Linked DNA regions of Drosophila melanogaster. The protein of the gene in region 1 purifies or fractionates together with the protein of each later gene. This does not show direct contact. Each region holds a gene or a part of one and is shown in the gene's direction. Other genes may lie near its edges.

Region 1 (2,897 bases):
TTTTTGGGGTGGGCGTTAGAGCATTGCGAATGATATATGTATGCTTGAACACATGTTGTTGGGGCCCAGAAACTGAGCTTATATCGTCTGGGCAAATATTAGGGGGATATTTTAGTGGAGATGGCCAAACTTTGAGATCATCAAAAGGGAATCGTTCAACTAACTTTTGTATCCGATAAGTGAAGTCCCGCAGCAGACGACCAGATATTAATTCTCGGGGGGAAATTAGAAGAGGACATTGCTGTATCCGATTTACAAGCAAAAAGGACTCTGCAAATTAAATTTATAAATATAATATACCATTGTTCGGCTTGTCAGAAGTTTGTTTTTCCCTCCATTGTTACATAATTATATGGCCCGGAGTTATCGGTGGGCTTGAGTGCGTTTGTGTATAAAAAAGCAAGATAAGCCAGAACCGAGTGCATGTAAATAAATTGAAACAAATAAGCTGACTGTCGGCTAATTGCAGGGAGACCCCTTTATCCAGAAAAGCGAATGAAATTGAAAAGCCGTTCGTTCCATTTGCAAGGCAAATATACGAGGCCCCGGATCTCCGGTCGTTTTTTTTCCACCTTGCGGTGGACAACATCGCAACATGCTGTCGAACATTTCCGCCGGACGGTTTCCGTTATGCAACGCCACTGCAAGGACAACAACAGGTGGATGTCGAGAAGGATGTGCGAGGTGGTGGTGATTCTGAGTCCGTAGCCACTGTTTACGCCGACCAAACTTTTTGTCAGCTGTCATTGGGGCAGACGTGCAAAAGAAAAACGAGAGTTTTCCCTTTATTCTGATTCCAAAAGACTGACAGCTGAATACCCCGTAGGAAAAAAAACACGCACAACACAATTCGCGTTTGAGAGAAGGCCCCGGCGAGATTCGAACTCACGATCTCCTGTTTACTAGACAGGCGCTTTAACCAACTAAGCCACGGCGCCACTTATGTTGAACCTGAAAATTTGGAAACTTCTGTGGTGGGTGGTTGGAGGTATCAATGATCATTAAAAATAACTCAAGGTCAAGTATTGATTTTGATAGATGATACTATGAAGATAAAATTAAAAAGATATGAAAAACTAAAAAATACTGACACAATCTTTTGTGTAGGCCCCGGCGAGATTCGAACTCACGATCTCCTGTTTACTAGACAGGCGCTTTAACCAACTAAGCCACGGCGCCATGCGTTATATGCCTGACCAAATTTTCATAATTGCCTTGCCCAATTCAAATTAAAGTGTCAATAGCTGAAATGACATGCTCTTCAAATAGAAGATCTTAAAAAGTAATTCAACGAGGTCCACGTATAAAAATGTATGTAAAGTACTAGCGTTCTTTGAATGGGAAGAACCATACAAAATATTTTCTTTATTTACAATACGTATACCAGCATTTGGGAGTCCCACTGAGATTATTCACAATATCTAAAGGGGAAAAACAAATGCATATGGCTGTGTATTTAAGGATGATTAACAGACAAGAGAAAATTAAAGGGGGAAATCACCGAAGTTGCGTACTTTTGCGACAAAAGACATGAGAGTATAAAAGCGACCGTCGGAAATATGCAGTCACTCAAACTAAGAGATAGAGTGCAAGCAGAAAGACGAAATCAAAGAATTATATAAGATGGAATGTCAGGCTTCAGGAAACCCAAAGAGCGGAGCGGCAACCGCCCAATGCGGAGTAAGGGTCGGTGATGATCTTGCCAATGCTCGAGCCGGAGTATTCGCCTCCACTCCAGGCGCTGGGGGTCCGGTCACCAAGGGAGTTTATGGAGCGGTCAACGCGTAAGTCCAGTAAAAGTTCTTAAAAATGCTAAAATAAATATTATAATTTTGTAAACTTTCTTCTCTTCATCCCACAGCAATGGTCATGCACTCTCACTGCAGCATGGCCACATCGAGGGCGTGGGCAGCACTACCACTGCCGCAGCCCAAGCCAATCTCTTCCAGAGCAATAACGCCGCTCTGAATGCCACTGCATTTCACAGTCATAGCCGATCGCACGATCAGTTTGGCGGAGGACTCAATTTGCAAACTGGAACGGGTCACCAGGCGGCAGTGGGGGTCACTAGGGTTCCTCAGTTCGGCATGACCGCCGTCCAGGCTTCTGGCACAGCAAATCTGTATACCTCTCCAAGTGGCAATCTCAACCTCAACGCCACCGGAAGTGCCAATCATCACCTCAGGGGACCGATGCGCGGCAAGTCCGATTTCGGCACCGGAGTTAACTTGCGATATAATTTTTAAATCCTTTATAGTTTTATTGAAACTATTCATAGTCACATTTAGTACTTGCACGTAGCCAAGAAAAGAAACAAGTGCCGTATTTATATGCATTATATCGAAGATTAAATAAACCATGCTATTAAAAGCGCTTTCTACTTGGTAACACGCAATATCATTGAACTCTTTAAACTCCTGTCAAAGTGCACATCGATTTCCCATATTTCATCGAGTGAAATTCTACACAATAACCGAGCCACTTGGGGAAATCCTTTGGGGTTCGAAAACCCATCTACAGACGAACGTAGACCATGAGAAACAAATTTTTGACTAGTCAGCTTTTTGGCATATTTCTTTTTTTTTTTGCACCAATGTGTGCAAGCACCGCAACCGTTAAGTGCCATAAAAATAATTCAAAATAAATTGCTTTACATAAAAATTTGGTTTCGGCAGAGCAGCGCGCCCAACTGTTTTATAAGGTGTATAATTTGGCCATAATAATGCGCATCATGGCAGCATCCATCGCGGGGTTGGTTATTAATTCTCGGTCGACGCGTCGTCGAGCCCGAGACATAAATAACGCGTTTTATGCGTGAATATACTTTGCATTTTTCGCAGACACGGCGGAGTCCTAGTTAAGCCGTAAAAATTACACCAGCCAGTCAAGAAGCCCCG
Region 2 (4,478 bases), on another chromosome or scaffold:
GTTCGAGCTCCTGGCATGGGCAAAAAGCGAAAGAGCCGGGTAGAGACGCCGTCATCATCTGTCACGTCATCGGTGGACAAATCATCTCCTCCAGCCCCTCCGACTCCGTTGGCAGACGGAACAGCACTATCAGCTTGTCCACCGGCAAGCGGAGTAAACACGGCAGCCAGACGCACAGGCACAAAGGCTGGGAGCCGCACTGTAATGGGAGTGCCGGAGGGCGGAACAGCCGGTGACGGGATTGCAACGGAGACTGGTATGGGTGTGGGTCGTGGCGGAGGAGGTGGTGGTGGTGGCAGTGGAGGCGGAGGAGGTCTACGTGTGCTGGCATCCGCTGGCGACGCAGTCGTTGTTGTGGCCGATTCCTCCTCGACCTCCTTCCAGGCCTCCAGCAGGGTCAGCAGCTCATCCTTGCTCATGTGGCCGAGACCAACGGGGCTGTAGGGCCACTCGCCCACTCCGAGTCCACTACCAACACTATTCCAGCCTAAAGAGGGCACTTGTTCCACTTGCTCTACGTGACCCAGCGGAGTCTCGAACAGGCTCCTTTGGGGACGTGTGAGGAGCAGCTGCTGACCAGCCAGCCCATTGCACAGGATCTGCATGAGGAGACCCAGGAGCGTCGCACGAACTGACCCGGCCATGACTGACTTTGTATTGTGGAGCCTCTAGGTGGAGCAGTGGCTTATATATACATACCTGCTTTCAACGGAACGAGGAAGGAGGCCAAGCCGAGCAAAACGGAAGCGCACGCATTCCGCTGCGGGTGATCCGATCACACGATGAGAAAATAGGTTGACCGCAGTCCTCGATGGGCTCAGAGTTAATTGAAATGCATTCGATTTAAGATCACAGTACAAGCATTTTAAATAATGTCATAAGCTTTCCCGCTTTGATCACAAACTTGTGTATATCTTAGCATTCTTCGGTATGAGCAGAAATGGGAATGGTTATTCGCATTCGCTTGCAGGGCTTCAATTCATAATATACATAGATGAATAAGTCGCATTCGATATGAATTATTTTCCCAGTGCAAAGATTTTTCCGGTGGTCGCTTGAAACGCACATTCGCACGCAGCTCCATCGCCAAGTACCACAGGTAGTCCATATAGTTGGGTCCCTGCCTCAAGTCCAAGTCCGGTTTCGCGGGCGAACCACTTTTCCTTCTGGGGATGGATGTGGATGTCCATGCAGAGGATGGTCTTCGCGGGCGAACCGGTTGGGCTTGGTCATCGACTTTTGGGGGGTCCAACCCACTTCCGGCATCTGCGCCAGCGGATTTGAGTCTGCGAAAGCGGCGCGACGTGCCAGGGATTTCGATTTATGTTGGTTAATAATTTAAATAAATATTTATTTATATTTAAATATTTGAAATAATATATTCGCAACTCGATTGCCAATATAAAAAATAAAAATACCAAAGACCAATTGGTCGGATTGGGACTCAAAACAGCTATAGAACAATGCATCTGGGCGCCAGGTTCATGGGTGAATCGAAGTATTGTACTTCTATTGAACTTCTGGGGATCCTTAATCCGCATCCTGTGTACAACACACGCATACAAAAAGCAAACTCCACATTACAGCAGAGCGCAAGCTGTCAAAGCTGTAGACCTGGGAAAATAGCTTTGCGGGAAAGCCCGGAAACTCGAAAGCGCCATTTTCAGGGGCATGCTGGCTTGAAAACGAGTTGAAAGCGTATTTCCATATCGTGCATTTAAAGAAACGAAGAAACGAATGGTATAATGGACTTCCGTTAATGTGACCGTTGGCGGTCGGTACTCTGAGATACTCTGCGGTATTCGGTATGCCTCGCACCATTCGGTATATTTACACGGACATACCGGTGACGTGGTTACATTGCAACAAACATCCACAGAAACCTCCAATCCACTCCAATCCCAGACACCCGCCCGCCGCGACGTTGCAACACAGTTTTCATGGTAGCAGCGAACGTTCCCGATTCGAGGCAGAGTCCATTTGGAAGTCCCGGGCATCGCAGGAGCACTGCGGCAAGCACCGACCGATCGGCTGAGTTGTGAAATCCAAGAAGTGGAAGAGGACGACCGGACACAAACTTCACACACTGGTGACTGGACTGCAGCGGATCCACATCGGAATAAGTAGCAGCCAGTGGAAGGAGGCGACGGCAGAGTGCAGCCGTGGCCAAGAAGACTTGAGACGCAGCCCCGTAGTTCCGCGAGCAATCGTAACCAGGAACAGCAGAAGCCATGGCGCTGCTGACCATGATAGCCAGGGTCATCGATGGCCTTCCTCTGGTGGGGACCATGCAGGATGACGAGCAGGTACCCGTGTGCATCACTTTCTAATACGTTGCATTCCGTTCCGCTCCCGCAACTAAGTCGCTTTCACTTTCAGAGCGGACGCAGCATACTGGACTACCAAAACCAGGCTAAGATGCTCTTCCGCAAGCTGGGTACCCACTCCCCGGCTCGATGCAGTATCGAGACCGGACCCTACCTATTCCAGTGAGTAGCCCCAATTCGTGGCACCTTTGCCAGGGCATAGACCATTAAAATCACACCATGTACAAAGGTTTCTCGGCTCCGCGGGTAGTCAGTGACAGTTGATTTAGTTTCGGAACAAAGAGTATAGATGTAATTTGATACGAAGTTAAATTAAACGCTCACTGCTTGCGAAAGCCAGAAGATGCAATGGGCGCCCCAATTAAAATATTCCACATTTTCCCTGCAGCTACCTAATCGAGAACGACGTCTGCTACCTGGTGATGGTGGACAAGATGTACTCAAAGCGACTGGCCTTCAATTACCTGGAGGACCTGGCCCAGGAGTTCCATGCTAACTACGGCCGGCGAGTAAACTCAGTGACTCGCCCATACGCATTCATCGAGTTTGACGTGTACATACAGAAGGCGAAAAAACAGTTGACGGACCGCAGACGCAACATCAGCAACATCAACACACAGCTGCAGGATGTGCAGCGCATCATGGTGCAAAACATTGACGACGTGCTCCAACGTGGCACAGTGCTGGCGGGTAACTACTACTACTACTATCTACGCGACTATCTACGCGTGATTGTGGGATTCAACTGACGTTCACCCCGTTTTTCCTTCCAGAACTCGACACCAAGACCCAGAACCTATCGATGATGTCACAGAAGTACAAGAAGGACGCCAAGCTGCTCAACCGAAAGTCCATGTACGTGAAGGCGATGGCCTTGGGCATGATACTTCTAGTGTTCATCATGTATTTCTGGGTTCTGTAATATCAAGCAGTTCCATGGCCACTCGGAGCGGCGCGTTCTTTGTTGGAGTCAAGCGTCAAGGACGCAAGACCAAAAGACATTTAGATTACGCGTGCACCTGTACTCCACGCCACCAACCACACCATATTCATTCATATCTATGAATCATAGGCAAGCGAAAAGTGAATAGCGAAACCCCCTACCAGCATACGCATCGCTCCCGAGGATTGTTTTACTTCTAATATTAACTTACCTTTGCGTTATTTACGGTCTGGGATTCCATTAATTATTAACTCCCATTTCATTTCGCCTCGCGCTTCCGTTGCGCAGGTTTTCTAAATATTTGATTACGAATCGGGTTTAGTTTAGACGACCTTTGAGCCAAGTCGGTTGACTACGACCCAAATCTGTAAATTATGAGCGTCGATCCGTGTGTGTGTGTATAAATGTCTAGATTGTAGATGGATCGCTGCATAGCGAATCCGAATCCGGCGGAGTGCTTGATACAAGCTGCAAAAACACCGCAAAAAACAAAAGAAAAAGAAAAGATAACAAGCGAACCGAAAGAAAAGAAAAGAAGAGAAAGGGAAATAAACAATAACAGTTTTAGGCAATTTATATGTGTAAAATTAAGGCAAATAAATAAATTTATATTGTTTAATAAAGAGAAGGCAAAACTGTGTTCGATGCACTACCCAAGCCCGAAAGATAGAAACTGCATCTGATTTTTGGTTTAGTTTTAATCGATAATTTCCCTTTATATATTTTTCGATTCACTGAGTGTGATGTGATACATTCGCCTTTATAGTTTATATCCACTTGCAAGCCTTCGAATTACGATTCTTCTCAATGAATTTCTCGATCTGATCCGATCCCGATCCCATTCGGTCTCATATCGTCCCGCTAAATGTCCGTTTTCGTTGCGTCTCAGCGCATATAAATTTGTAATATCAAATCTTTACAATTAGGAAAAAAATGCGCTGTTGCCATATACACTGCTATATCGTAATTTGGTGTGTATAGTTTTGTGAAATATCGAATCCGAATACATATATACGCTCTCTACATAACTACATATGAATGCATATGCTTTGTGGGGGGGGATGTGTGAAATGGTCTGCAATAATTAATTAACTGGGGAGAAGAGCAATCATCTACCGAATTTTGCAACCTCCTCTGGCTTCCGTGTACTAGGCTGTGGTTCTGCTGAAGCTCTGGTGGTGAGTGGGATCGAAAATAAATTACGCGGT

The links. Proteins that work in one complex are often made in the same cells at the same time.
Region 2: the proteins of AttD (region 1) and Sec22 purify together in Drosophila melanogaster (affinity purification with mass spectrometry, with the first as the bait; one large-scale study listed by BioGRID). This does not show direct contact.

The regions. Positions count from the first base shown.
Region 1 is NT_033777.3:17,623,701-17,626,597, forward strand, and holds AttD (Attacin-D), read left to right. Parts: upstream 1-1,567; 5' UTR 1,568-1,623; coding exon 1,624-1,784; intron 1,785-1,861; coding exon 1,862-2,246; 3' UTR 2,247-2,386; downstream 2,387-2,897.
Region 2 is NC_004354.4:804,254-808,731, forward strand, and holds Sec22 (secretory 22), read left to right. Parts: upstream 1-1,822; 5' UTR 1,823-2,231; coding exon 2,232-2,312; intron 2,313-2,379; coding exon 2,380-2,489; intron 2,490-2,715; coding exon 2,716-3,017; intron 3,018-3,100; coding exon 3,101-3,249; 3' UTR 3,250-3,947; downstream 3,948-4,478. Other genes in the region: CG13358 (uncharacterized protein), read right to left, coding at 1-644.